Danio rerio: one gene and its partners. The protein of the gene in region 6 purifies or fractionates together with the protein of the main gene of each other region. This does not show direct contact. Links are inferred from orthologs where the notes say so. Each region holds a gene or a part of one and is shown on either strand. Other genes may lie near its edges.

Region 1 (5,251 bases), on a different chromosome or scaffold from region 6:
AAGTTCAGGTAGTTCAATGCAAAAATGAGCTGCACTGGCTCATTCATCTCAATTGTTACCTGTGAAGAAAACAAATCTCATCAGTTACCATCATCATAGACTATTTTCTAGATGAATATCCCAATGTGAACAGTAGGGCTGCACAGCATATCGCAATAAGGAATCGTTATCATGACAGTATAGGCAACATGCACTAAGAATTTTCTTTAATGGCCTGGCTGGGCCAATGGATTTTTTTTGCTGGTCAGAAAAAAAAAAAAAAGTAAACATTTCTTAGCGACATACTTTAATGTCAAAACAAGACAACTCTGGTTGTATACACTTTAATTTCTCTTTTTTTCAATTACAAGTTTAACATTTTTTAAAGTATTTTTATCATGGAGGCAATTACATAATCAAAAAGATATATTTGAAGGCTTTTGGTCCAAATTGATTGAGTACGACTTCTTTTCAAGCTAAAGCGTTCCTGTTGTAAAACCTTAAGCTTCATGCCTAGTTTTAAATGTCTACTCACCCTTCTGTAAAGGTTTTGTATGAATGAAAAATGACGCAACGCAATGTAATTGTGGTTATGATCATGAGAAATTGTGTAATTTCTTAGTTTTTTTCCCCCTGATTTTATGAAGATAGATTGTTGGTGATTATATGGATGTCGGCCCGATTGGGTAGCTTTACTTGGGACAGGAAAATTAAGACCAGTTTAAAATGATTTAAGACCTACAACACAATATTTCAGTGATTTTAAGACTTTTTTTTTTTTTTAAACTTAAGACATTAAGACCCTACGGATACTGTTTTTTATGCATTGGTTATTTTTATGCATTGCCACAATCTGTGGAACTCTTAACCCTCTGATAAAATCCCAGATAATTATTAAATCACTTATAACCTACTCTTTTAGGGTAGCTTTTTAGATTTATTATTATTGTAAGCGTTTGATTATATTCATTGCATTTTTTTTGCATTCATCCTGTATGCATCTTTAACAGCTGCACATTATGTCTGTAAAGTGCCCCGAGATGCTACTTTTAAAGGTGCTAAATGAAAATAAAGCTGCTTATTATATAAATCTGATCAATCAGATGGGGCCTTTACTACCTTTAGCCCCGCCTCCTAAGTAGTTGCTGTTCTGCTATTGGCTGGATTGGCTTAAAGGTGAAATCAGAGCTAAAAAATGATTCTCACTAATAGTGCTTTAAAGACTAAAGGTTTGCATCTTGACAGTTTTAAGTCTGAATTAGATCTGGAAAATATATTTTACTTGTTTATTGCAAAATCATGAAATAATTTTTTTAAAACAGCTAATTAAATTGACTTTTTCAGAGAAATGTTTGATTATAGAATATATATTGCATATTTTTCCCAGTATCGTGCAGCCTTAAATGAATAGTATGTTACCGCTTCATCCTCCTTGTCGACGTTGCTGGTCTGTGAGAGCTTGATGTTGCCTGTGCCCAGCTCTCCGCTGGCAGAGAACTTCACGCCATCCTTGGCACACGAGATCATGACAGCATCACCAATCTGTGACAGATCCCTGCAGATGCGGGCAAACTCACCCGACGGCATCTTCACCACACAACTGTATTCCTGCTCCTGAGGGGAAGAGAATAAAGCATGATCATTGCAGACAAACATCCACGATCATATCAGAAATAAACAGGAATCAAGAGAGGGAAACTCAATAAACTTTAAGACCTCATCGCCATTTTAGGTTTTAACTTAACATTGGTGACAATTCAACTTGTAGTATATTTACTAAATACTGATTGTAAGAAACGAATCCTAAACTAAATCGGTCATGTACTGAATAAAAATGCTAATCCCAACAGATGGCACCTATAGAACAGCAGGAAACATAGGCTTGCCTTTATTACTGCAGTAGACAAAGCAGTGTGATGCCAAATCTAGCAGGATTTTATCAATTTCATAAACCACACAGATTAAATTTAGGCAAACTTTAGCACACAACTACACATTATATAATCATAAAATGACCAAAACAATTATATCTTGTAAAACAACAGTTAAGGCTGTTTAATACCAAATTGATTTATCAACTTTTAATGACCCTGCAGACACCCTGTTATAATAAAGTCTTACTGGAATGCCAAGCTGCTCCACATCCAGATCCATCAGTTTCATCTCATAGTCGGACACTTTCTCTTGATCTGAAATGAGATGTAAATATTAGTATGGATTATTAGCTCTCCAGCAAAACTTAACTTTTGGTTTCATAGTAATAGTTGATAACATGGTGAAGAAAATCCATACTAGAAGCATTTTTTTTATGTGATGTTATTAACCACAAAATGGCTCCAGTATCTATGCGAATTTCATTCTTACATTTTTGGAGAAAATTATTATTAGAAAATTATTTTTAAATATTAAGTATTAATTATTTAGCTTAACTTTAATGATTCATTTTAAACCAAAGCCCATGTTTTTAACAGGTATTGCTGATAAATCGATATTAAAATACTGCAAATATAAATTTAGCAACATAAAATAAATTCATAATAAAAAAAAGTTTTTTTTAATTGTACACTATCAAAAGTATTGCTATTCCTAGTTTAAAAAGAAGTTAACTTACTGAGCGTTTCAAAGACCAGTGCCAAGGCGTCAGCATTGTCTTCAGCTCTGAGTGTGATGATGTCTTCATTTCCAGCACACTTCAGAATCTTCGACATGCTAGGAAACAGATGAATAATAATCAAAACACGTTCACTTCAGGTAGAAAAACACCATATTGATCGTAAAATGGTTTACCATTTACATTCGAAACAGTCATGGCATACACAAAAAGTGTCTAAGCAGGTTTTCTTTGTCTAACACCAGAGCCATGTTGTCATTCAGCAACCCGGCATTTTCTTTCCCGCCAACAAGCTTAAGCGCGCGCAAGTGACGTCACGATCAGTAGAGCGTGGGACGAATGCAGGAAACTGCGCGCCAAATTAAACTGATAGCCTATTTAAAACACAACCGTAAAACGGCATACTTTAATAACAACTACTGTAAATAAAATACTTTTGTCACTTTATAGTCTAAAAATGGCGCGCTGCTGTGTAGAGGCGCAGCCCCGGGCATGCGCAGACATGTTCAAACTTCACTCACCAAGTAAATACGAGTCAAATAACACAAAAGGCGCTTGATTTAGTCAGTGATTTTACCTGCTCAGATTGACCCCCATGGCTAGGTTTCTGTCGCAGCGGTAGGAGTCGAACCCGTCACTCCGGAGCGTCAGCTGCACCAGAGACACATGAGAGGAGTCCATACTCTGCAGAGAAATGCCCGACGAGCTCACATCCCAGCAAGCCTCGGTGATCAGGTCTTTCAGAGCCTCCAGGACCTTCTTAAGGATAGATCCCTGAACCAGACGTGCCTCAAACATTGTGCTGCTTTCTTAGTTTAGAGTAGGAGGAACTAAAGTTATCTAATCCTGTTACGACACAAGCTGCGGCCTGGTTAACTGCTTGTTTTCCAGCACAGGAAAGCAGAATCCTAAACTATCCTAGAGTTTAGCAGGTACTAATGCAGAGGAGGCACGGTGCAGATGTGCTGTCCACTGTTCTGGCGAGGCTCTGAATGTAACTGCGCGCGCTTTCGCCGGGATTTTGTTAAACTGACCCACTGTTGCCTTCGTCATTTCCGCTGACGTTTGACTCCTCCTGGAACGCAGACAGAACTGCGGACACTGACCAAAAGAGGGCGCAATTTGGTCAGAAGGTATGAGTTATTCACAACATTTATGAATACCCATTACAGTGCGTTTTAATAACCTTTACCCCCACCCAAACCCTAAACTGACCCGTCACTGTGGTGTAAAATATTATATATTGTCGTACAGTGTGAAAAATGATGCTATGTCAACGTGCGCATGCCCAAGTATCCACAACTGTATCCCTTTTTTTGTTTCTTTGACAAATTACTGTGCTGTTGCTAGAAGGGATACAGCTACGGTCGGCAGTTAACGAGAATTATTTATAAAATTTATAAATACCCATTACAGTGCGTTTTAATAACGTATACCCCCTAACCAAACCCTAAATTGACCAGTCACAGTAACGTAAATTATTAATTATTGTTGTGCAGTTTACCAAAGATCAGACTATGTTGATGTGCGCATGCCCAAGTATACGCACCTGTATCCCTTTTTTGTTTCTGTGACAAATTACTGTGCTGTTGCTAGAAGGGATACAGCTACGGTCAGCAGTTAACGAGAATTATTTATAAAAATTATAAATACCCATTACAGTGCGTTTTAATAACGTATACCCCTAACCAAACCCTAAATCGACAAGTCACAGTAACGTAAAATATTAATTATTGTTGTGCAGTGTACCAACGATTGATGTTGATGTGCGCATGCCCAAGTATCCGCAACTTTTTGTGTAACACATGTTTTGTTGCTAAAGGATATAGCTGCGGTCTTCAGTTAACAATAACTACTTATAATATTTATGAATACCCATTATAATGCTTTTTAATAACGTCTACCTTACCCAAATCCTAAATCGACCCATCACAGTAACGTAAAATACTGTTGTGTCACAAAAATCATGCTATGTTGATGTGCGCATGATCAAGTATCCCACAACTGTATCCCTTCTTTTGTTTGTGTAACACATTTATGTATGTATATATATATATATATATATATATATATATATATATATATATATACATACATACATACATACATATATGTGTTACACAAACAAAAGAAGGGATACAGTTGGGGATACTTGAGCATATATATATATATATATATATATATATATATATATATATATATATATATATATATATATGTATGTATGTGTGTGTGTGTGTGTGTGTGTATGTATATATATATGTATATATCTATGGTGTAACTGCAGGTGCGGTCTTCAGTTAAGGATAATTATTTATAATATTTATGAATAACCATTATTATGCGTTTTAATAACGTCTACCTTACCCAAATCCTAAATCGACCCATCACAGTAACGTAAAATACGAAATATTGTCACAAAAATCATGCTGATGTGCGCATGCCCAAGTATCCCCAACTGTATCCCTTTTTTTGTTTGTATAACACATAACTTTTGTTGCTAGAGGGGATACAGCTGCAGTCGGCAGTTTACATTTAATAATTTATGTTAATTATTATTAAGTTATCAATAATTGCATTTTATTAATGACTACCCCAACCCTAAACCCAACCATCACAGTGATGTAAAAACAGTAACTATACGGAGTATTATTCATATTA
Region 2 (5,248 bases), on a different chromosome or scaffold from region 6:
TGATGAGCGAGATGCTAATGGTCTAATCTGATTCAATGGTTTATGCTAACCTAAAAGTGTTCCCACCAGACCCAGAGATCTGATGAATGGATTTTAAAACATGGGGAAACTTAACTTTAACTCCAGGAGTTGTAAAATGAGCCCATTAAAAAAAAAAAAGAAAAAAGAAGTGAGTGTTCCTTTAAATGAAGAATAAGAAAACGCTAATGGTGTTGTTTAAAATGAATGCTAAAATCTTGTTCCTAAAAAAGTAGTTGCACAACATACTTTTTTTTTAATCTTTACTGAATGTACAACAAAATTAAAACACTCCATTTTCGAATTTTTAAGGAAAGGCTCATTTTATTACCTCCCTACAGTTATACAGTTGAATTTCACCATTTTCAATTCATTCAGTGTATCTCAGAGTCTACGAGCACTTTTAGCTTAGCTTAGCATAGATCATTAAATCGGATTAGACCATTAGCATCTCAATAAAACAAAAAGTTTAAATATTTTACCAATTTGAAGCTTGACTTTTCTGTAGTTACATTGCGTAGTCAGACTGGCAGTAAATGAACAGCTGTCTTGGAACTTTACTGTCATTCTGGCGTAATAAGCAAGGAACTTTGTTGCTGTATCATGGCTAAAACAAGCGCAGTGATCTTACGCAGTGCCTAAAAAAGGTTCCTTGATTATGACTCAGAAAATAGAACATTCTATTTTCAGCAGTCTTAGTACACAATGTAACTAAAGAAGAGTCAAGCTGTAAAATGGAGAATTATTAAGACTCAACTTTATTATTTTTGAGCGTGATGTTAATGGTCTAATCCGATTCAATGATTTATGCTAAGCTAAGCTAACGGTGCTCCCACCGGACCTGAAGATCTGATGAATGAATATTTAAAAATTGGTTAAAATGGAGTCACTCTTTAAATAAGAAAATAATCAAAACTCAACTTTTTTTTTTTTTTTTGAGGGAGATGCTAATGGTCTAATCTGATTCAATGACTTATGTTAAGCTTAGCTAAAAGTGTTCCCACCAAACACAAAGATCAACTGAATACATTTTTAAAAATATAGTCAAATTCAACTGTTTAACTTAAAAAAAATAAGGTGCAGCGTTTCTTTAAATGAAGAATAGGAAAACGATAACAGTGTTGTTTAAAATGAATGCTAAAATCTCGCTCATAGAAAAATCGCACAACCTAGACTTTTTTTACCATTACTGTGTACAACACAAAATTCTATGGTGGTTTTTCTTTATATACTGTATATCGTAACGTGTGCTAAATCAATGATGTGCGCTGTACCTCATTCAATTATAATGCTCATTTGATCGTAGACAAAAAAAAATAATAATAAGATAAAGAAATTGCTGCTTTTTGTAGTCCCCACCGCAGCGTTTTGTAAACCTTCAGAGACCAATGAAGAACATTTGGCAACTAAATGAATCATGTAGGGCCAGGATTGAAGGTTTGCAGGCTAGAAGAAATTATCAACATTTTTAATTTACATAACAGTTCACCTATATATGTGACTATGATCAATGTTTATATGGATAGTTCACGCAAAAAATAAAATGATCATTTAATCTTTCACTTGTTTAAAGCCTGTTTGAGTTGCTTTCTTATTGAACATAAATGAAAATGTACTGAAGAACGTGAAAAACAGCCATTGAGTATTTTTCGTTGCTACTAGAGATGCTTTTTCCAACATTCTTCAAAACATCAGCATTTTTGTTCAACAGAAGAAACTCAAAAAACTTTAGAAGCACTTGAGGAATTACGAGGAATTTTTCATTTTTGGGTGAACTGTCCCTTTAGATGGTCTGACGTTATGCGATTCTCTAATTTTGTTTGTCTGGATGAACTTTTTCCGATAATTCCATTAAAAATGAAACTTTGCTGTTGATTTAATACCCTCGGGTCATCAAAGACGGTCGCTTTCTTTTAATTCAGTGACACATTAAAAGACTTATGGTTTAAACTGTGATCCTTGTTGATTCATAAAACTGCAAGTAAGATATGGAGTCAAAAATAAATACATAAATAAATAACATACAGGCTAATCAAAATACATATATATTCAGCTCTGGACAATAAATTGAGGTCTTATAAAACACAATGAAGTTCATAATGCTCATGGAATCAACTATTCCAATCATTAAAGGCACAGTTCAGTCAAAAACAAATTCTCACTGTTTACTCCAAACCTTTATGTGTTTCTTCATTATGTTGAACACGTTTCTGATGTACTATTGATACCCATAGCAGGAAAAACAAATGCTATGGAAGTCAATGATTACAGGTTTCCAGCATTCTTCGAAATGTCTTCTTTTATGTTCAACAGAATGAAGGTTTTGAATAGAGAGTGAATAACGCATTTTCAGTTTTGGGTGAACTATCCCTTTAATTTTGCCTGTATGTGTTTTTTTTGACTCCCAAAGTGCTGTTGACTTGCATTTTATAAATCACCCAATGACCAGTGTTTCAGCTAAAAACACACATTTTGTTAATGAAGAAATATGTCAAATTGATTTTTGATGAACTATCCCTTTAAGACCATAGTAACAACATAAAGGTCTTTTTGGAGATTTGTGCCGAATAACAGCAGCACACTCTGCATTAGAGAGAGTCACTATTATAATCATGTCTGTATGATCAAATCATAACCATAATCACTAATGGAGGAGTGTCTGGTGGTCCCTCTATTATCCTATGGTGAAAGCAGAAGCTGAGGGGGGTTTGAGGAGGTAAAACTGGCCCGTCTGTGTTCCTACATGATGATTTGGAGAGCAGTTTTTGTTTTTGTTTTTTTATGGTGGGCAGAAATCAGCAAAGTAAGGGTGCTGTAGAGCTTCTTCTGCTGAGATTCGCTGTACTGGATTACATTTCAGAAGATTCTAGAAAAAAATAAAAACAAAAAGTCACAAAATAGTAACATTTAGCAAAACCATCAATCATGAAATACAGTTAATCAAAAATTAATATAAAACTGCAATTATTATTGAAATATTTCACAAGTGCTTTAAAATAGTTTTTTTTCAACATTAAAAAAATAAAAATGATATATATATATATCAAATATATATCAAATATATATATATATATATATATATATATATATATATATATATATATATATATATATATATATATATATATATATATATATATATATTTATTTATTTATTTATATTATTTTAAACTACCCAGGTTCTGTATGTTGCAATGTTGCCAATTGTTATTGATTTTTTTTCCCGTTTAATTTAAAATTTCCCCAACCAGTCCAGAGCCCGGTGGAAAAGAGTGAGTTCTCCGACTTGACCCCAGCACTGGTCCAACGTTTCTAAACATAATAGTTTTAATGACTCATCTCCAATTTAGGAACAACTAATTTCCAACTTATTTATTTGTCTTTGCCATGATGACAGTACATTATATTTTGCAGGACACTATTTGAAGACCTAATTAGGTTAATAATGTTAATGCCACAGCCATATCTACCTGTAGCCCAAGACCAGTTACGCACTGAAGCCAAGCAGGGCTGAGCCTGGTCAATACCTGGATGAGAGACCACATGGGAAATCTAGGTTGCAGTTGGAAGTGGTGTTAATGAGGTCAGCAGCGGGAGCTCAACCTGCAGTCTGTGTTGAGTCCCAATGCCCCAGTATAGTGAAGGGGACATTATACTGTCAGTATGCACCGTTGTTAAACTGAGGTCCTGACTCTTGTTAAAAATCCCATGGCACTTCTCGTAAAGCGTAGTGGTGTATACCCGGTGTCCTGACCAAAGTCCCTCCATCGGCCCTTACTGATCATCCCCATCCAAGAAATTGGCTGGATCACTGTCTCTCCACTACAACTATAGCTGGTGTGTGGTGAGCGCACTGGCGCCGTTGTCCTGTGGCTGCTGTCACATCATCAAAGTGGATGCTGCACACTGGTAGTGGTGTGGGGAGACCCCCCCTCATGATTGTAAAGCACATTGTGTGTATGGCCATACACAATAAATGCACTATATAAATACACATTACATTACAATTTTGCAATGTATGGTAATTGGGCAAGTTATTGGACAACAGGTGTTTGTTCTGTGTGGACAACTAAAATAAACAAAATGTTAAGGGGGGTAATAATATTGACCTTAAAATTGGTTTTAAAAAATTTAAAACTGCTTTTATTTCAGGGCAAAAAGGCTTTCTACAGAAGAAAAAATATTATAGGAATTACTGTGAAAATGTCCTTGCTCTGTTAAAAAGCACTTGGGAAATATATACCTAAAAAGCAAAATAATTAAATCACAGGAGAGCTAATCATTTTGATTTCAGCTGCGATTGTTATGATAATGCAAATAATATACCTGTAGTAAATCTCTGCCGGTGCTGCTGAGTTTCGGCACGACGTTCACAAGTGATGTAGTAGCTGGATACATCGGGTACGGCTATTGAAATATCAAATAAATATTTAAAACAATATATAAATAAATTAAAAATATATGCAGCCAATTACTGAGTACAGTGGTCCCTCGTTAATCACAGGAGCTACGTTCTTAAAATAACCTGAAATCCGTAAAGTAGTCAGCTTTATTTTTTTACAATTATTATAGATGTTTTAAGGGCGACACGGTGACTCAGTGGTTAGCACTGTCGCCTCACAGCAAGAAGGTTGCTGGTTCGAGTCACAGCTGGGTCAGTTGGCATATCTGTGTGAAGTTTGCATGTTCTCCACGTGTTGGCATGGGTTTTCTCTGGGTGCTCCGGTATCACCCTCAGTCCAAAGACATATGCTATAGCTGAATTGAATAAACTAAATTGGCCGTAGTGTATGTGTGTAAAAATGTGTGTATGGATGTTTCCCAGTAATGTGTTGCAGCTGGATGGGCATTCACTGTGTAATTCATATGCTATAAAGGGACTAAGCCGAAGGAAAATTAATGAATGAATAGATGTTTTAAGGCTGTAGAACCCCTCACTGCACACTTTATAGGCTTTTCTCAGACAGGCATCAACATTTTTCCTGCAATCACTGATACTCAAAGCTAAATATATATACCTGTATCCTGCACTTGCTGCTGTTGCACTGCTGGTTAGACCTAAACTGCATTTCGTTGCATTGTACTTGTACATGTGTAATGACAATAAAGTTGAATCTAATCTAATCTAATCTAATCTAATCCAAAGCAGACTCCATGCTTACGATGGTCTTGTTGCAGACAGTTACAACCCTTATTGTAACTTTGTTGAAGCTTATAGCTGCTGTCATCT
Region 3 (5,392 bases), on a different chromosome or scaffold from region 6:
TATAAATACAATATTGTACCCTAATGTCTGTGCAGTTTAACACGAGCAAATAAGTTTGTTACCAAGTACAGCCCTAATTGACCTTTTCAAACTTCTTTTATACTTTTAAAACTCTGTTAAAAAAAAATAAAATAAAAAATAAATAAATAAATAAATGTCAACACTGATTCCTGAACTTTGTCTACCTGAAGATCCTAAAGAGTTGGTCTATTTCGGAGTCTCCATGGAAGAGAGGTTTCTTGGTGGCGAGTTCAGCAAAGATGGTGCCAATACTCCAGAGATCTACAGGTGTGGAATAGCGTGAAGCCCCCAGCAGCACTTCTGGAGCTCTGTACCACAGAGTGACCACCTGCACAATCATAATCATGCGCACACACGTCAGCATTAGTGATTATAACATTTTGAGCAAGTATCATCAACTGGTATTAGGCTTCTGCCAGTATCAAATTTTCTTGTTGCGATTAACTGCTGAAGCTGTATCATGATAGACCAAAGCTGTAAAAAAGTACTTCTAACAGCTATAACAAAAAAATAATAATTGTGTATTGTATATTCATATTTAAAATAAACACCCTAAATTGCTAAATTATTATAAAGTGACGATAAAACACTTTACACATTGCGTTAGTAAAAGCTAGTTAATGAGAGAGACTGTGTGAAATAGCCACATTATAGGTACAATATATGATAAAGTTAATTTAAAAAAGTACAACTAAACAATTTGAAAGATCTCCCTCAAAAACCTTGCATTTATCTTTTAATATATAGGTTATCTTTTTTACTGTCGTATTTAAAACCATTTCTTTCAGCCAGTAACCTATATTTGGTGTACATCCATTTTTCCAATTTAAAGAAATCATAGGTTTAGCTCGAAGAATACATCTATAATACACATTCAGTATTTTCTTTGATTTTCTTAGGGTATAAATGAAGTATATAGTTGACAGAAGATAGTTTGTGTTAAATTTTCACTTATGTCACCTTTACTCAATTACAAAAATGTCTATTTTTTTTTAAGTGTGAATGTAATAGCGGATGGAAATGTGGCCTCCATTGTGGGATGTGTGTACTTACCTCATGAGTATAGACTCTTACTGGGACCCCAAAGGCACGGGCTAAGCCGAAATCTGCCAGTTTAATTACACCTTTATTGTCGATAAGCAGGTTCTGGGGCTTCAGGTCTCGATGCAGAACCCTGCGACAGTGGCAGAACAGAATCCCCTCCAGGATCTGATAAAGGTAACTCTACATAGACAACACACATCAGCACGGTTACTTCAAGATACACATTCAATACTATAGTATAGAATCCAAACACATGCCATTATAAAACATTGAGGAATGTAGTATTTATGTATTTCGGGGCATGAAAGGCACATGAAACAAAATCGTTGTATTTACAGTACCAAAAAAAAAAAAAATAAATAAATAAATAAATAAATAAAAAAAAAAAAAAATATATATATATATATATATATATATATATATATATATATATATATATATATATATATATATATATATATATATAAAATAATAAAAAAAATACACACCTTGACCAACATAGGATCCATGAATTCGCCTGATGGGATGGAGTCCAAATATTTCTTCAGATCCATGGACAGAAACTCAAAAACTAGATATAATTTGGATTCCTGCATCAGCACATCTAGCAGGCTGGGAAAAAGAGAAACACTTTATTTGTAAAAATAGTACATATACTGTCATAGTAAATATGAAAAACAAAAACTGTTTATACTATGATACTAGTAATATACATAAATGTAAACTAAATCAACTTATTAGGATGATTTCTGAAGCACTGAGACTGAAGACTGGAGTAATAATGGTATGTTAGATTGATTTCTGAGGAATAATGAGACTGAAGACTGTAGTAATAATGCTGAAAATTCATCATTTATAACAGACATTAATCTGTGGTAAGACTTCACAATAGTTTTTAATCAAATTAACAAAGCATTGGTAAGCATTAAAAACAGCACCCAAATTTGAGTAGTAGTTTATCAACCTACATACATTTTTAAACTGTGAACCCTTAACAGCATTTTAATGTCATCACACAATTCCTGATATAACAATATGCTGATCAATTTTTTTTGCGAGGTATATTAAATATTGTTAAAATATATTACTTTGTTGTGGGTGATGACATCAATTATCCTGTCATAACTATTTTTATTGTTCAGGACAAATATATTAAACCAAACACATTCCAATGGATAGAGAGTAAAATATAAAGCTGTATTAGACCAACCCGTCTTTAACCCACCACCACAGAGACAGGCATACAAACAGCACTTTCTGTACAGTAAATCTGATTGACTCTAAATTATTTGTTTTGTTAAACATGTAATGAAATCTGTCATACCGTACAACGTTTGGGTGCTGGAGCTCCTTGAGGAGGGAGATTTCTCTGACAGCAGTGCTGGGAACGCCTTCCTCCTCACTCTCCAGACGGATCTTCTTCATCGCCACCACCTGTCCTGTGGTTTTATTCCTGCCCTTATATACTACACCATACGTACCTAAAGAACACACACATATTTACATTAGACATTCACTAAAAACACTCTCAGTTTTATTATTTAGAGACTAGCTAAGAATAATAGTAGCTAATGTAAATGACAATAAGCACAAGATAAATCTTACCTTCACCAATTTTCTCTATCTTCAGATAGTCATCCATTTTCCCCAAACACTCTTTTTTGAAAAAACACAAAGAATAAAAAAAGTAAATTAATGACAGCATAACATGACATTTTCAGAATCATTTTTTTTTTATTTTTAGAAAGAGGAAAAAAAGTCTGGATGCATAATGAAACTTTTCTCTTTATTTTCTTCATTAAACTTGTTCGTTTTTGCTTTAAACTAACTATCTAAAGCAATCAAAGTTACAGTGGATGTCAAATATACACATTATGTGTACCGTTAAAAGACTGACTGAACAGGTCTTAGCTTTTGGCGTTGACATCAAAATCACAACCATTAGATAAAATCCTTTTTCATAATTCCAAAGTCATAATTTTGTGCCTAAAAACCTCGTAACGTCAGACACGTTTTCATGAGAAAAATAAGTAACTTAGCAATGTGGCAACGGAAAATCAAGATGCAGCAGAAACTAGTGCTAAAATCCAATGATCAACCGTCTGTTTTATTTAGGACGTACATTTGCAACGTTAAAATTACATAAACAAAAACATCATTCAGTAAAGTTTACAGTATCAACTTACAGTTAAATGACTAAGTAGTTTTTGCTCAGTTGGGCCCAAACAACTTAATGTTACGCGATCAGAATCAAAATCGTTAACATAACAGTCAATCATCATCATGGATTTTTAAAAACTCACCTTTTCTGTAACTATATCTAATATGGATGAATATCAAACTGTCCTACGTCCAACAGAGTTCTCGAAATTTTAGAGGAATGAAAAAGCTTGCGGATGTTGTGTGTGTGTGTCCTGCTGAATTGCGAGTTCCTTGATTCAAACTGGCCGCGTGGACGTAATTCAAAAGCAGCCAATCAGCGCACTCAGTGGGACTTCAAAATCAACCAATCAGATGATAGAGCGGTTGGGAGCGGGAGGAAAGCGGCGTCTGTGTTGGATAATGTGCGCATGCGCGGCTTGTTGTATATTTAGTTCAAAGTAGTCCTTGTGCAGGTAGGAATAGCGATTTTTACGTTTTTGACAGACACTTGTTGCTGTATATCACTGGTAGTGGGTGTTCAGACGAAACATCTCTAACGTCCTTTAGTTACCCTAAAACCGACATTCTAGTTCATTGCGTTCGTTGCTGCAGTCTTGTGTCTTAAATGTCCTACATTTGTAACGACAAACAACAAACAAATAATGTAATTATTATATTGTGAGTCTCATACAATGGTCACATATTGATTTTGAGTGGTACACAGACGAGCACGCATGCATTACTCTTTTTGACGACTTGGTGTCACTGTTGGACTGTTCTTTTCAGTATTATTTAACCAGATCTCCAACAGATGCTAATTTATATTTACGTTTTTATTTGTTATATGTATATTATATAAAAAGACAGAGAGGGAGACACGTGTAAAATATTGTGTAGAAAAGCTACTTATTAGCTTTTATAATTGGACTATTATTATTATTATTATTATTAGTAGTAGTATTCTAGTTTACATGGTTTGATTTCAGAAAGATTTGATGTGGGGTCACAAAGTAAAAAAACAATTTTTAATAAAGTTTATTTCCCCCCAACAGAACCATTTAAAAGAAGCTCTCAGAAGCCCAATGAAGCATAACTAGGCTGTCTAATTACAGAGAAATAAAGGAGGCTTAGTCCCCGGGATAAAATCTCAATTCCATCCTAAATTCTCAGAGGTAGAGACTTTAATTAAAGAAGTGATTAGTTACAAATTATTACCATGCATATTTGAGCCACTCTGATTGGCTGTAGGAATTGGGATAGAGGAGGTCAAACTAATTTTGGGTGTTTTTTTTAATCAATATTTTTAAAGAATGCTAGTATTCTGTGTTATAAGGGATGTGGTCATTATTCTGTTTTAGACCCTGGTATTTTTATCACCATGTTAAGATTTGTTTTATGATAATGACCGTCAGATTGCGTCAATTTTATGACACAGCGTCTTACCACATAAATAATAAATAGAAATATTGATTTGAACCTTTTTACACTGTTTAACTTTTTAAAAATTATTATTACTGAACATCGTTACATACCAATCTTGTTTTGGGGACATGAAAATATTTTTGAAAATGTTACCGTCTCAGTGTAAAATCTAGTAATGGGAGAAATTAAGTTTTTCAAAGCTTAGAAACAATTGAACCAATTGCTTCACAAAAGGATTGCCTGTTTTGAACCATTCAAAAAAGTGTCTGCATAATATGTATTGTTTTAACATTTTTTAAAGATTTGTTTGTACAATGGGTGTGCTAAACAGGACAACAAGGGACTATTAACTACTATTATTACTCTTTGTTTTACAAATGTTTCATTAAAATGTTTATAAACTTGTAAAACTGATTTGAGGTCAGGTGAATGTTTGAACATTTTTAGTGATTCACCACTGGGGGGCAATCTTGATGAGCCCACATGATTCATTAAAGAGGTGGTCCACAATGTATTTTTAAGGCTTGGTTGTGTTTAAGGGGTGCAAAGCAATCTGTGCTCATGCTTCATTTGTAGAAAATCACATTATTTTTTCATATATCTTACTGTAGCTATATACTGCTACTCAGCTAACCTGAAAATGAATGACGTATTTCCTAGTTCCGTTGAAAGGCCTGCCCCCAAGAGGCTCTGATTGGTCCGCTAACAATGTGCTGTGATTCACAGATCAGCTCCACATCATCAGGGAGCGTTTCTGTTATAA
Region 4 (4,621 bases), on a different chromosome or scaffold from region 6:
CATTAAGTGATTTATAGACAAGTAATAATACTTTAAAGTCTATTCTGAATGTAGCATGAGTTGGTATCCAAATGTTAAATTTTAATTAAGTTTAAACAACCAAATTTTAAGGATGTTTTTAACCTCACTTTAACATTTGTAGATCTCGATAACTACAAGGATATAAGTATATATGTATGTAAACGCTGATCATATTACAGTCCTCAATGTATTTAATACAATAATAATATAATACAATTTTATGTCATTATTCCACTTTCCTGCTAGTGGTTGTCATTAGTGTTACTACAGTACAACCCAAGTAATAGTTGATGAAAAAAGCCTTTTAACCTTATCGATGTTGCAGTGTTTTACAAGACTTGTAAATAATGACAGCACCCTTTAATTTGACTTTCAACTTGTTTCATTTGATCAAACTGATTTTTTTATGCATAAGCACATATCAAATACTCAAATACTGGCGCGATTTGATCTGGTCTATTGTCCAGCGCAGTTGTAGTTACATGATGTAGTTACACAATTAGTTAGTAGCACAATTAGTTGTGCGCTTACCTTACACATTACTTAATACACACAGGATGTACAGTAATACACAAATATCTTTACAAATGAAAAAGAATTAAGGATTAAAATATTACAAAAATGATTATTTTCCAGCCTACATAAATATAAAAACCATACTTTCATGCCTTCTCTGGGGGCTTTTTCAGTTTATTCAGAACAATTTGCTTTTGTAAAGTTACTATTATTAGCAGTATTATTTATTATATGCATATTTATTTTTGTTTTATTAAAAACAAGCTTAGATGTGTCCACCTGTCAGGTTTTAGACCATATGGGGCACAGCATGTGTATTTGAAAAACTTTTTTGACCACACTTCGTTATTATTGTTCATTTATTCTTTTTCTGGAAATTAGAACTGAATTTAGAAATAGTTTTGAAACAATCTTTGCGCTTAACAAACAAAATTAATTATGTATAGGCTAATAGATGTCGGTGCGTACAACACGTTTCTCTATCCACGAGAGTGAAAGCGAAAGTAAACAATGAGAAGGCTTATCTCTCATGCTCACGCTGTAGATGCTGTTTTCTCTCTAGTGAAGTGTTCAGTTTTTCCACTTACAAAGTCCGCCTTGTAAATAGCAAATGCGCTATGGCGCGGCGCAACTGACTCTTATCAGACGTTCACACCGAAAGCGGCGAGAGCATCAAAGTAGCTGGAAGTCATTCATTTTCAATGAGAGCCAGCGGCGAGAAGCAGCGCGGCGCGTCTTCGTCGGTGTGAGCGTCGATGAGAGTTGAAATGAAGTCAACTTTATGGTAATGAGCTATGACGCAGTTCGGCGGCAAGCAATCAGAATGAAGACATCCACCGCTTGATAGCAGTTCAGAGAACACAGACCTGTGAACTTTGGTTCCGATCACAGTTGTTCCCAAGGGTTTGATTATTGCAGTCGCCGGATTTCCAATTATTTACAATGTTTTCCTACAGGAACATACATTAAATAAGTTACTGGCGAGTTACTGATGTTTATTAATGTTATATAAATTTATCTTAAAAAAGTGGGAATCTCACGCGATATGACAGTACAAAACAGTACTGCTGCTTCAGGATATTTCAGACATATGAACACGTATTGGATAAATAGAGCAAAGCCACACCACATGCAACTTGATCTTCCATTGTTGTATGAATATGATAAGAAGTGTGCAACATTTTCACGCTAGAAACATGTTTTATGCAGGAATGTAACTGATATGCTGCAACGGCTCCTTTAAATACGAGATCAATGTAGCGAGTTTTGACGCTTTCGCCGCCGGAGCTGAAGGCAGACAGCGTTGTCGCCAGGGTGGCCAGAGTGACCTTGGACTCTCTCGCCGCTTTCGGTGTGAACGTACGGTTAAAGGGAATGGGAGATGAGACTCTGATTGGTTTATTCTCAAAACACACTTTGCGCAAGGACCATCAAAATAGAGCCCATTGTCTTATTGACTGCATGATTCATTATGACTTCTTTAATTATAATTAAGCATTTTATTTTTTAAATAGTAACTAAAAGTAAATAGTAACTTTTGTTGCATTTTAATATTAGTACTTAATTTAAAAAAATGCTTTACTTGTTGCTTAAAGTAACATTATTACGTAACTGACGTTACTTGTAAGCTGTTCACTACATAATCATCATGATAAAAAAAGAAACCTTGCACATTTCTAAAATCCACAAAATAACACTCTGTCTGATGGTCATCACACATTGTTTATAATTGCAGATCTCGGTCGGATGTACAACCTTGTTTCCCGAATCACAGATGGATTGGGAGAGCTAAAGAAACTCTTGGAGTCCCACATTCATAATCAGGGTCTGGCAGCCATCGAGAAGTGTGGAGATTCAGCGCTCAATGTAAGTCATGCTTATGCAGTTTAAACCCACAGTGACCATGTGGAAACAATGCTTTCAGTTTCATGCTGAGCAGTTTAAAATTTGATTGATTTGGCTTGTGAATGTTGTGTTGAAAGCACAAGTGAACCTGAATTTCTTGTACTTAGCGTCACGTCATTTGTAATAATCCATAACAGGACTATTATTATCAGGACAAAAGCTGTTTGACTGTGACCTAAAATCTCCATGATTTAAAAATACACTTGTATTATATTTCATAGAAGTGACTCACCCACTGTATGCCACATCAATAAAAGCCAGGCACCGCCTTTACAGGAAACCAAATCTTGATTTATTATTTAATTTAAAAAATTGAAGTATTAGGAACTGAATAAGAATAAAAAATATAAAACACACTTAAGTGAACTTTAAGTTAACATTTAGACATTTTTAAAACACCAAGTCTAAATTAAAGCAAAACTGGGTGTAATTTGTGTGGGAAATATGATCACATGCCTCATATTTTTGTTTTGTTTGCTTCACATATATTGCATCACGTAAGTTGCTTTGCAATAGAATTCAAACCATATTTCAGATGGAATAATATGGAAAATACAGCCTTATTCATTAACACCATACTTTGGCTGTTTCTCAATTCCGAGAACGGACTTGCGTTCTTGTGGAGACCAGTCTTACCAGGTGTCCTCGGAAGAACGAACTCAGGAGACCGTGAGGGCAGAGAATGCGTCCTTTGAGAAATGGGATGCTGCGTTCTTCCTGATGGTCATGTGACCTTCACGCGTTTTAAATGGAAATTATTTAAACATTACAGCATTCATACAATGATTTAATGCCCCCCCCCCTTTTCCAAAATATATACTTTGCATAAAAACATTATAAATATACTCTGCACAATATAAATAAAACTAATTTTAATACGAATTTCAGCTAACAAACACCCTTAATGTGTTTATTCCTTTATTAAGATGTTCATGTTAATGTTTACTTTCACTGTTTCATTTAGGGAAACTCCTGAGGTAAATAAGTGATATCTCTGAACTTTAATAATAAATCTAAATAAAATGCTGCGCTTCCCACCTCCAGTCGCAATGAATTCTGGGACTTCCAGAGCGAGTTCAGTGCTCAAGTCTGCATCAGTGCGTCCTCGATATCAAGATCACATCCGGGAAGTTTCACGCGTCCTCCGTACTTGCGGTCTTGAGTATTGGAACTGAACTTAGGCAGCTGATGATGACGTTGCACGAGAACACGAGAATGCAAGAGCGCTGAAGAACGCATATTGAGAAACAGCCATAGACTTTACTTGGACAGGTTGCCCAGGTATATTAATATATATATATATATTATCACCCATTACAGTTTTTTTTGTATCCGCCCAAGATAACTCAAATGTCTGCGTTCGATTAACCAATGTAAAATCTTCTCCTGCCCCATTTCATACTGCTCATTGTGTGTGAGCGAGAACTGTCAACAACACTTCCTCAGACAGTCTCACGTGCTATGCAGAGACCCAAAGACATGCAACTTTTTGAGGCTTAAAAATACATCTGGCCGGTGTTTCTAAATCTCCTAAAATGTCCGGGAGTCAACTTTTGCTTTCGCTTTCTAAAGCTGTTATGTTTTTGCATTCCTCTTTTTATTAAAGACTTGGCTTCACAGCTGACAGCGTGCACAGCTGCGAGAACAGGAGAAAAAGTAAATAATGGATTCATTCATCTAAACAAGTAAAAAAACATTACTGTATACTCAGAGAGGACAAAATGAGATCTAAACTGGCTGCAAAATAGAAGTACACCATTAATCAACTAAATTGCCTTATTTATATAATCTACACATTTTTAATTCTAATTATTACAAAGTATCCATTTTAGAGATATAGTCTATTGTTATTTATTTCTCATTTATGTTATGTTATTCATTACATATTTTATGCATATCTAAAATGCTTTGGCAGTACTGTAGTAAATGCATGCCAGTAAAGAGAGAGAGAGAGCAGAGTGCAGCTGTGTGCAGATGGCTCCAAAATAGCATAAAAATGAGAGAAATACTGGATTTCTTTTCTTATTTCAAAAGCCCTTTGACCAAATTTAACCCATTGAAAAGAAACAGTGTATAATAAATAAAAATATTGTTAAAAATCACATTATTTTTGTGTCATATGTAATTAATCATTTATGTGTTGTGCGTAAAGAATGTGTTTCAATCCGGCTACCACCGC
Region 5 (5,329 bases), on a different chromosome or scaffold from region 6:
CAAATATGTAACTTAGTCAGCAACACGTTTGTTTTTCTAGAATGAAGAACAAAGTGCGTATTTGTAACAAACTTGGATACAAATGTGAGGGGGACAAAAATGCAGGAGTGATTTTTTTTGGACAAGCGTTACCTGCTTCGTTTCCTTTGCATCTACACCGTTTTCTTTTACATCGACGCCTTATTTAACTTTTCTGTCTGTTTTTTTCCTCTCTCTGCCTTTCTAAAAAAATAGAGATTTTAATACACTTTCCTGCACTTAGTTAAACGAGTTATGCATGTAAAATGAAGCGCCTCGTTTTCTATTAGGCTATATATAGTTTTTTAAGGTTAAACTCTTAATTAACATACGGGTTTAGTTTGCACCGGGTATTTGAGTAGCCAGAAAAAAAGAAACAATTATCAATTCAACACTACAGTACAGTTAAGAATAAAGGCTAACAAACATCCCGCACAAACTAAATGTTTCTTTTGTCAGTTAACCCACACAGTTTAACCACACAGAGCTAACAAACAGCTAACCACGTTAAGCAAAATTATTTAAATTATGCCTTGGTATAAATAGAAAGTTTCATTTTTATTAGTCGTACAATATTATAAACTTAATAAAAGCATGTTTAACCGGAAGAAATGAAAAAAGAAAGAGCTCGCCAAAAATATTGGATGTCCTTGCGTTGCAAGCCATTTGATTCAATGTTTGTCGCCATGCTTTTCAGGTTAAAAACAAATAGGTGGATATGTTATTTAATTATTTATTTATCTTTGGACATAATGCTGTCTACACTTTTTATTATGCGAACTATAGGCTAGCATGAGCGTATGATGGTTTGTGTCTGTAGCCTTTTATTGAAGTTCCCATTGACTAGCTAATAATAAATAATAATAATAAATAAACTTAAAAGATACAGAAATAAAATTTTAAATGATTAGAATCTCCAAACTACATGAATGACCATGTGCTATTGAGAATTATAAGTACTTGAGTGCATTAATAAGGTTACCACCTAAAGTAGCCTAGGCTATGCAGTGATGCAGTCTTTAAACATTTTAAACACGATTGAGTAATTCAACCACGTCTACGTTGCCAGTCTGTTGTGCCACATCCACTGGTCGTAAATCGCAGTGATCTTTTGTATTGGGGTCGGCGCCGAAGCGGATTAAAAGCCGCACGGTGTCAATGAATCCGGTTCTGGCAGCGTCGTGCAGAGGTGTGCTCCCTGTGTCGGGGTCAGGCACATTAGGGTCCGCTCCCTGTTCCAGCAGCACAAGAGCCAAAGGTGCGTTACCCATCATCATCACCTGGAGAGGGGGAAAATTGCTGTCTCATGAAAAAATAAACGCCAGTAACGTCATGATGTCACTGTAAAGAAGTTTGTTTAATCAATAATTTTACTGCCATCACTCGAAATCTGGAAAGTAGATACTTTTTGGTTAAATAGGAACGAAAGCAGTGCACATGCTGGCACTGAACATTGCTGTGCATGATGCATTACTCTTTTAGCCTATCAATAAATTATTCACGGGCAGTAAATCAATTAAATGCAACAAATTGTGTTGTAGCTAATTCTTATTTTTCATATGATTAATTATGAAGATTCCTATAATCATTTTAAATAAAATGTATGCCATAAATATGCTTTGTTCACATTTGTGATTTTCTTAAACATCTTTCGTTTAATTGACATTTTTCTGAGGCAATTCATGCTCGTCAGAAGTTTTACAATTGCCTAATCTTTTACGATTTCTGGATGTATGCTGTCCATCTGTTTAAAGTGTGCTAAAAGATATCTATACGCACTTTATTGTAGGCTACCTCTTCGGCTTTTGATGTCCCGTAACCGAGAGCATGAACCGTAAAACCATTGGACATTGTGAAAATTAGATGAAAACTTTCACACCAAATATTATAATAATAGGCCTACACGATTATAAAAACAAGCAAAAATAAGTATGGTCTAAAATATATACTCCATTAGTCTATGACTGTGCTAGTGGTGGCTGATTATTTTGGTCAATATAGGCCAACTGTACAAATGTCAAAATATTAAACGTACATTCGTAAAAACAAGCATGGCAATAAGAGGAAAAGGGTTTTCGCAGTGATGCCCTTCTGGTTCCGCACAGAAAACCTATTACAAAGCTTCCAAAAGAAGTATTTTTATTGTCAAAAAATGAAATAAACATTTTAATAGTTTAAAGGCACATTTTTCAAAAATTTTCTCCATAGATGCAAAAGGTTCTTCTTAAAACCATCGATGCCAACAAAGCTTTCGGGAGTGAATTAGCAAGTAGTGTGCCATTCTTCTCGCACATAGAGATATGATTTAATAGTTTAAAATTTATCTGAAATTAAGATCTATAAAATGTCTTATTTATTTATTGTTATGTATATAAATCTATCTATCTATCTCTTATATATAATTGTAAACATTTGGTTTTTATACACAGTTATAGTACATTGGGACTTTCGTTTTCAATAAGATTTTAGTTTTCTTTGAATAATTTGAACTTTGACAATACATCCAAAACTCCTTGTCTTATTTCGGACTAATTTCTAAGAATGTAGCTATAAGTTAAAATTATAATGTTAAAATTAATGACATTACTAAAAGATAGAAAGTGTTGTTAGTATTATATAGGTTGATAACACGCTATTGGTAAACATGTTTCAGGCCGTTTAAGTAGCCTAAAAGGTTCTTAAACATGCTAAAATGAGTAAAATAAATACACAAATAGCCTAATATTTAAAAAAAAAAAAGAAAAGTAAATCCCATATAGTCAAACAGGTGTGAAAATATGAAATAGCCTAAATTTGTTAAATAATATGACCTTTAATACAAAATAAGTCTTTGAATTGTATGTTACTAATTTAATGTTACATATCTGCAATTAATCTTATTTATTTATTTGCATTTGTTTATTTCCGTTGTTTATTCTTAAAGCGCGTCTAAACCTACCTGTATAGGCGTTCTTCTAAATTTGTTAACCACATTGGCATTCACTCCGTTAGAAAGTAAAAACTGAACATGGGAAATGTTTCCGGTGGCTGCTGCTGTGGTCAGTTCATCCTCGACGTTCATCATCTTTATTGATTTTCGAAATTAATTCGCTTCACAGGTAAAACCAAATGATGATGATACTGCGAAAACAATCAGTTCAACGCTGTAATTTATTTTTATCGGTCTCCATGAATAACATGTTCCAATATAATGCGTAAATAAGCGAAACTGACTCGTTTATCAAAGTGTTGTGTCTTAAAATAATTTTTCGTAGCGAGATATTTGTTCGGACTTGTCTCTGTCATAAACGTCACAGCAAAACCGTGGTGCAGTACTGTCATACTGCGCCTGCGCACAACAGCTGAGTCAGGAAGACATGAGTTTACGACACAGTAGGAGAGGCTGCAGAGAAACAGAAATTAGGTTCTGCTAATGTTTTATGGCTAATGTAACTGGCATTAGCCTGCTTTTAGATCACAAGAAGTTTTTTTATTCTTTTTTTCGGGTACATAAGCATATCACAACGCTAATTATGCTAACATAATTGGGTTTTGTGCCATGGAGAAGTTACTCTTCGGGAATAGGCTAACGTTACCAGGAAAAATCTCTCGTTTTTCAAGAGTAAAGTTATTTTATGGATTTTGATTAAGACGCGATGTTAGCTAGGCCTGTAGAGATTAAGTTTGACTTGGCTACTTTAAAGTATATTATTTAGCCATTATGCTGTGTGGGGCGCTTAAGTTAAACTATATTTTTGATCCACATAAATTATAACAAAAAAGCATATACATACATTCGTGGTAGCCTATATTTATATTTTTTTCATAATGGTTGTTCTGTTTTTGATTGTAGATGAACATAAATCTATTTTCTGCACGATAGAAAGGACGCGAATGGCCATAATTTTGCCCAAACATCGTCTGACTTACAGTTTTGTAATGCTATTTCCCCATCACACGACTGTAGCTAAACTATAGCCTGTATCCAGAAACAAGGTATTAAACAATTGTAGCAAATAGTTTTTAATTTTAGCAGTGAGTTTGTTGCCTCTCTAATACGTTGAAAATAAGTAAAAAGATAAAGGGTCCTGTGGCTGTGTAGATCATTTACATAAAGTAAAAATCACATTCTGAGATGCACCTGTTTAAAATGAAGAACAGTGTGCTTTTGTATTTAATTTTCTAACTTATTCATGTTTTGATGTTGTTAACATGTTAATAATATTGGTTAATGTGCATGCAAAATAGATACTAAAATATGAAATAGTAAATAAAATAATCATAACAAACCAACGCAGTACAATATTAAAGAAAAAAAATAGTTGGCAAAGCCCCACTGGCTAAGTGTTAATAATAGAAAATTTAATTTAAATGTCATAGAAGCAACGATTAAAAATGAATTATTTTACTTAGTTTTGTTGAATAGATATTAAACAACATGTAGAAATAGAATAGTTGAACTATGTAACTAAAAGATATCCTGCACAAAGTTTACTTCACAACTCCAGTAAATAGGCATGAGCATTTTAATATTTAATACCACAGTTGAAATTCCTACATTAAAAGGGGGAAAAAAGAAGTTTTGATTTGATTTATTTATTTTGGATCAAAAATATACATAAAATATCATAAAAAAATAAAATAAAATAAAAAACATTTTCGAAAATGGACTGGGATGAAGCACAAGCCTATTATTTTCCCACCCCGTTACCACATACTTCATTCGTCTATTACTTAAACCTATTTCTTCTTTCACTCATCTCTTTTTTTTACATGAGACATATTTTATCCTTTTGGCATCTTTGACATGTTTAAATCCATTTGTACCTTTACATTTTGTAACATAGACCTAAAAAAAAAACAAAAAAAAAACATAGTACTGCAAATAGCCATTAATTAAAGTTTCATCATACCATTTTCAATCACCTTCATCATTATATTCCTTTTATAATATATATTTATTTATACAACTTTTTAAACTGATTACCATGCTGACATTGTTTGAGAGTCTGATCTGTTCCATAATTTCACACCACAGACAGACATACACAAACTTTTTAAAGTTGTCCTTGTTTTCAACCTCCTATAAAATTTAGTTCTTCTCTCAGGTTATATCCCCCTTGTCTTTATTCAAAAAACTTTTGTATGCATTTTGGATGTAATTTATTCCTAGCTTTAAACATAAATTGTGCTGTTTTAAATTTAACCAAATCATTGAACTTGAGTATCTTTAATTTTAAAAAATATATTTGTATGCTCCAAATACCCCACACCTTCTATCAGTCTGATTACTTTTTTTTCTGCATTGTACTTACGGATCGTAAATTAGAAT
Region 6 (5,118 bases):
CATTTCTTATAGACGTTTAAAATAATGGTAAGTAATACAGTGTCATATAATAGCCTGATATATTATTAAAGTAATCTAATAAAGTAATTTTTGATCTTATAATGAACAGCCTAAACTACTGTTTGCTATTAAATTAATTAATATATTTGCCTAATATTTAAAGAGCATTGTTGATATGTCTATATGTAAAATGACGTGTGGGGGAAAAAAACTTAAATCAGTGGAACATTTAAAGTTTTTCTTGTATTCTAGTTTCTCTCTGCAACTCGTTTTGGTCTTTGTCTTTTCTGTAAAAAAAAAAAAAAAATACAAAATTCCATTATATGCATGTTCTTATAGAGGTTTAAAGTAATAGTAAATAATACAGTAGCCTAATAACAGTTGCTATTATAGCCTAAGATAATATTATACTATGCTAATAAAATAACTTTTGATCTTAGAATGAACGTACTAGCCTGTTTGCTACTAAATATATAATAAATAAATAAATATATATATATATATATATATATATATATATATATACACAGAGTGTTGTTGATATGCTTATGTAAATGACTTGTGAGAACACTTAAATCCATGTAACATTTAAAGTTGTTCCTTTACTCTAGCTTATTTCTGCAACTCTAAAGTTTTTTGTCTTTGTCTTTTCTGTAAAAATAAAAGTTATATTTTTTCTTTAATATGCATGTTCTCAAAAAGGTTTAAAGTAATAGAACTTAATACAGTAACTTAGCTGCTATTATAGCATAATAAGCTTATAATACATTTATTAACATTTAAAGTTGTTACTTTATTGTAGCTTCTTTCTGCAGCTGAAGTTTTGGGCACAGGCAAATTACTTGTTTTACGGTATTGAAGTGGAATGTGCGGAATTTGTAAAGCTTCAATTCATCCTGAAGCGACAGCAGTGAGGTCTTTTAAAGTGAGAGCGCCCCTGTTTGATCAAACTCTATCAAACAATTTGTGTTGTTAAAGCTGCAGATGTCGTGTTTAAACTTTACCGGTGAGCTAATGTTTTCTTTTAACGCGGTTTGTTTCCGAGTCTAAATATTATAACTACTTTATTGTTTGTATTATTTTATTATTTGAAATATTTAATGTTTTGGTGTACAAAGAGAAAAAAAAAAGTTAAATGAGATTTAAGGAAATGTATTATTAAATACGACAAGAAGAATGCTTCACATGATTAATTTTAACAATTTATTTTGTTTATTTAACATTTCCACGAGGAGTTTTTTTTTAGATAAAAGCTCGTGCCGCAGTTCTGCCTGGCAACTGACGTGCTCCTCCATTGGTTTAGGCTAATTTGTGCTTCCTTCTTTAAGTCTAACCCCCCAAAAAGAAACAAAAAAATAAAACAAGCCTCCACCCAAGACCACACATTTGTTTCATATATAGCCTACTGAAACCACATTCAAGTTTGTGCAGAAACTTAGCTATATGAAACTTCATAAAGTAATCCAAAATCTTTTAAAAACATTTTAAAAGCCTGATTTTAAAAGCAGACAAGTGACTGTGACCAAATTTATTTTACAAATAAAACTTTTGATATATGCTTGTACAATTACAGTGACAAAAGTTTTTCAATGCGACAGTGTGGGCACCTTGATTTAGGCTATTATACTGCCCCCTACCAATACTAACCCAATACACATCTTCACCCCAGTCTTTTCCACCCCCGATACCCACGACACTAGCAGCCTGCCCCCTGCGCCCCCACCCCGGCCCAGCCTACCCCCACCACCGCTTCTCCTTGGTCACTCGTCACCCGGCGTAGGACCTCCTATTTCCATAGGGCTAAAGAAAGGAGCCAAAACTGAGAAGCAGATAGTTCTTTAGATTGATCCTCCGCCCTGAGCAGACAGCCTCTCGCTCTCTCACAGGCTCGCTGCTGCTGCTTTGATCTTCCCTTAACAACAGTCACGTCATAGGGGAGTTTTGTCAAGCGGAGAGCTGCAGCGAGACTTTTAGAGGGTTCAGCAGAGGCAGCAAAAAGCATCCACGGGACCAGTGTCCGACTCGAGCTCCAGCTTTCTTACTTTTCTCACTGCTAAACACTGAAGATATGGAGCACCAGTTGTTTTGCTGCGAAGTGGATACCATAAGAAGAGCTTACCAAGACAGCAACCTGTTGAATGACCGAGTTTTACAGACAATGCTTAAAGCTGAGGAAAACTATCTCCCATCACCAAATTATTTCAAGTGTGTTCAGAAAGAAATTGTGCCTAAAATGAGGAAAATCGTCGCGACGTGGATGCTCGAGGTTTGTTTTGGATAATATATTTATATATCTCTTTTTTTTTGCATTTGCTGCTACACACGTTGCCTCACGATGATTCTACTCTTGCTCTTTGGACTCCAAGAAGTATTTATTAAATGAAAAAAAATGCTTTAGTGTGACTTGGGTTCATCGGCATTGCTTATCCATCCCAGAAATATCACACAGAAACACGCTGTCCGATTATTGTTGCTTATTTTTTACGTAAAAATGTTTTATTACGAAATATTAATCCGACACGAGACGTTTTCCGTGCTTTCCGCTTTAGCCTTTTTATTTAGGGTTGTTATTTTTTCATGCATGCGTTTCGTTTCTTATAAATATTTTAAAATATAGATACATTTATTTATTTTTATTTTATTTTAATACCAATGTACACGTATGCATTCTCACTCGTGCCAGTAGCCTATTATACGCCATCTTTGTTGTCGTTTGCTTAAGTTTTTTATTTCTCTAAATTCTAAAATGGAAACATAATTGACATCACCTGCATAAAAGCGCTCACAAGTTGTCTTTTAAATCACAGGTATAACATAAATCAAATTTTTGCAAGAAAACGTAATATTTGTGTCTTAAAAGTTTTGTTTCAGTTTGTCATACCTCCTGCACGACGGTCTAAAAATATTGTATTATTTCATTTCTGAATTCAACATCGTGTTATAACCTATCGGATTATGTTAACCCTCTAATAATGTGGATTTACAGATGTTTAACAGTAGATTTAATGCTAAGGAATAATTTATATTAATTTATGAAACACCCGCTTCACCTAAATGTCGCATGCTTCCCTTTGTATGATGGGGCTTTGGATTTCAGTTCATTTCACGTAGTTTTTGTCATTGCAATCGAAATATTTTTGCATAATCTAATAAAGCATGAGTTACAGTACATTTACATGTGTTTAAAGTCAAGCAAAACAATTTTCGTATATTTTTAAATATTTTTTGAAAAGATGACGAACTAGAAAATTGTTTCCTGAACCGAGCTCAGACGCCACCTTTTTGCCTCGAAAGCAACGACCATTAGCATCAGAAGCAAATTGTAACATTTATACTTTGTGCAACACTTAGGATTAAACTTAAATTACTGATTAAATACTATTTTTAAGCATTTCCACGTGTCTTTTTTTTCTAATTTAACCCTTTCCACTGCACGTGTACGAATCAGCAGATGCTAAACACGTGGGATAACTCGATAAGATCAAAGCATACTGTAGCTTAAAAAATATTTGCACTTCGTTTATTTAATAAATTTCTATGAATAGTTTTTATTTTTATTTTTTATTTTTTTTTATTTATATATTTCTACACGTTTAATTAAAAGAATTAGCTGCTGTTGTGACTTAATATTTATTTATCGTATGCACTTTCTTTTCTTTAAAGGTCTGTGAAGAGCAGAAATGTGAAGAGGAAGTTTTTCCTTTGGCTATGAACTACCTGGACAGGTTTTTATCTGTGGAGCCCACCAAAAAAACCAGGTTGCAGCTTTTAGGAGCAACTTGTATGTTTCTGGCTTCAAAAATGAAAGAGACTGTGCCACTTACAGCAGAGAAGTTGTGCATATACACGGACAACTCTGTCCGTCCCGGCGAATTATTGGTAAATGTTTAATACTCTTTAATTTAGCAGCTTGATATTGTTTTCTTTTTTTTTTTTTTTTTGTGCTGAATTAAAGTAAAATAATGCAATTGAAGGTCATTTTGCTCAAAGACCTATACGTTAAGGTATTGCATGAAACAACGAGCTAAATGAGTTTATCAAAGTGTTAAGGCACCCACAGATATCTGTAAATAACAGTACATGTTACAAATTGTTGGTGCTTTTGATGTGTGCGTTAATTGAACGTAGGCCTTGCGTTATTGTGCAATTAATCGACATCTCCATCTAGCGTTCAAAGAGTGTAAAATCTGAAATGGAAAAATCGTCTGGGGCTTTATGTAAACTTGGACCATTTTATATCTCCCTCGCAGCAAATGGAACTGCTGGCGCTAAATAAACTGAAGTGGGATCTGGCCTCAGTGACACCACATGATTTCATTGAACACTTCCTTGCCAAACTGCCTATACATCAGAGCTCCAAGCAGATACTGCGCAAACACGCCCAGACCTTTGTGGCCCTCTGTGCGACAGGTATGTTTGTACTTTTGAGCTCACTTTTATTTTGTTTCGGTAACTTTGCAAAAGTTTTGAGCACTTTATCATGGTCATGCATTGAAGATCCTTCCCTCACAGTGTTTTACTTTCAGGCAGACTTCTTTATTGCAATTGAACGAGCCATCTTGCTTGTCCTAATTCCATACTCACAGTTATTGTAAACCAGTGAGAGGCTCTGCAAAGAGAGAGGAAGTCTGTTTCCTTTTGTGGTGATTGCTGACTGCTCCAGAGCTTCTGAGAAGCCCTGCCTGCTTCACGATACCGCTTCTGTGCACACAGTGCATGTGAACCAAAAAGCGGAAGTAGTTTTCTGACATTTTCCCTGTGAAAAGGGCTTTGTAACCTGATATTTTCCCATGTCTAGACATCTTGATGTCCAGGTACCCTTTTAGTTAGAGTGTTTGCTTCGGGGTAAGGCTGCAAATCCACTTTTTGACCTTACACCTCATTGTCGAGCAACCTACAGCAGTCAGTTTATCACCTGCCAGAGTAGGCCAGTAATGTTTCAGGAAGGAACTACTTGGGTATACTCTTTTTGTTCCTCCATTTACATGGTGGGTATCACCACAGCTCGCTTCACTTTTATGTTTATGACCCGCATTTCTTTGGGAAGTAGCCTGGGATCTTAGCCAGGGAGAGTGTGGTTGGATGGATACTGGGAAGGGGTGGGTGCTGGTGAATGAA

Evidence for each region.
Region 1: the proteins of ccnd1 (region 6) and pcna purify together in Homo sapiens (affinity purification with western blotting; 5 studies listed by BioGRID and IntAct, with this or other methods). This does not show direct contact. The link is inferred for Danio rerio from reciprocal best matches to the Homo sapiens genes CCND1 and PCNA.
Region 2: the proteins of ccnd1 (region 6) and cdk5 purify together in Homo sapiens (co-immunoprecipitation; 4 studies listed by BioGRID and IntAct, counting the BioPlex papers as one, with this or other methods). This does not show direct contact. The link is inferred for Danio rerio from reciprocal best matches to the Homo sapiens genes CCND1 and CDK5.
Region 3: the proteins of ccnd1 (region 6) and cdk1 purify together in Homo sapiens (affinity purification with mass spectrometry; 4 studies listed by BioGRID and IntAct, counting the BioPlex papers as one, with this or other methods). This does not show direct contact. The link is inferred for Danio rerio from reciprocal best matches to the Homo sapiens genes CCND1 and CDK1.
Region 4: the proteins of ccnd1 (region 6) and cul1b purify together in Homo sapiens (affinity purification with western blotting; 4 studies listed by BioGRID). This does not show direct contact. The link is inferred for Danio rerio from reciprocal best matches to the Homo sapiens genes CCND1 and CUL1.
Region 5: the proteins of ccnd1 (region 6) and cdkn2a/b purify together in Homo sapiens (affinity purification with western blotting; 3 studies listed by BioGRID and IntAct, with this or other methods). This does not show direct contact. The link is inferred for Danio rerio from reciprocal best matches to the Homo sapiens genes CCND1 and CDKN2A.

The regions. Positions count from the first base shown.
Region 1 is NC_133185.1:46,057,902-46,063,152, forward strand, and holds the start of pcna (proliferating cell nuclear antigen), read right to left. Parts: upstream 3,651-5,251; 5' UTR 3,389-3,650; coding exon 3,168-3,388; exon of another isoform or gene 3,115-3,167; coding exon of another isoform or gene 3,083-3,114; exon of another isoform or gene 2,893-3,082; intron 2,689-2,892; coding exon 2,591-2,688; intron 2,169-2,590; coding exon 2,101-2,168; intron 1,594-2,100; coding exon 1,399-1,593; intron 60-1,398; coding exon 1-59. Other genes in the region: E3 ubiquitin-protein ligase TRIM69, read left to right, coding at 3,083-3,114. UniProt on the Homo sapiens protein: Auxiliary protein of DNA polymerase delta and epsilon, is involved in the control of eukaryotic DNA replication by increasing the polymerase's processibility during elongation of the leading strand.
Region 2 is NC_133199.1:37,948,098-37,953,345, forward strand, and holds the end of cdk5 (cyclin-dependent kinase 5), read right to left. Parts: intron 4,426-5,248; coding exon 4,345-4,425; intron 2,885-4,344; coding exon 2,798-2,884; 3' UTR 941-2,797; downstream 1-940. UniProt on the Homo sapiens protein: Proline-directed serine/threonine-protein kinase essential for neuronal cell cycle arrest and differentiation and may be involved in apoptotic cell death in neuronal diseases by triggering abortive cell cycle re-entry. Interacts with D1 and D3-type G1 cyclins.
Region 3 is NC_133192.1:22,199,441-22,204,832, reverse strand, and holds the start of cdk1 (cyclin-dependent kinase 1), read right to left. Parts: upstream 3,478-5,392; 5' UTR 3,369-3,477; intron 2,722-3,368; 5' UTR 2,708-2,721; coding exon 2,671-2,707; intron 2,547-2,670; coding exon 2,390-2,546; intron 1,678-2,389; coding exon 1,554-1,677; intron 1,246-1,553; coding exon 1,075-1,245; intron 350-1,074; coding exon 186-349; intron 1-185. UniProt on the Homo sapiens protein: Plays a key role in the control of the eukaryotic cell cycle by modulating the centrosome cycle as well as mitotic onset; promotes G2-M transition via association with multiple interphase cyclins.
Region 4 is NC_133199.1:21,242,303-21,246,923, reverse strand, and holds part of cul1b (cullin-1b), read left to right. Parts: intron 1-2,272; coding exon 2,273-2,403; intron 2,404-4,621. UniProt on the Homo sapiens protein: Core component of multiple cullin-RING-based SCF (SKP1-CUL1-F-box protein) E3 ubiquitin-protein ligase complexes, which mediate the ubiquitination of proteins involved in cell cycle progression, signal transduction and transcription.
Region 5 is NC_133176.1:27,775,571-27,780,899, forward strand, and holds the start of cdkn2a/b (cyclin-dependent kinase inhibitor 2A), read right to left. Parts: upstream 3,345-5,329; 5' UTR 3,083-3,344; coding exon 2,957-3,082; intron 1,299-2,956; coding exon 1,047-1,298; 3' UTR 1-1,046. UniProt on the Homo sapiens protein: Acts as a negative regulator of the proliferation of normal cells by interacting strongly with CDK4 and CDK6. This inhibits their ability to interact with cyclins D and to phosphorylate the retinoblastoma protein.
Region 6 is NC_133182.1:69,631,631-69,636,748, reverse strand, and holds the start of ccnd1 (G1/S-specific cyclin-D1), read left to right. Parts: upstream 1-1,789; 5' UTR 1,790-2,068; coding exon 2,069-2,266; intron 2,267-3,663; coding exon 3,664-3,879; intron 3,880-4,250; coding exon 4,251-4,410; intron 4,411-5,118. UniProt on the Homo sapiens protein: Regulatory component of the cyclin D1-CDK4 (DC) complex that phosphorylates and inhibits members of the retinoblastoma (RB) protein family including RB1 and regulates the cell-cycle during G(1)/S transition.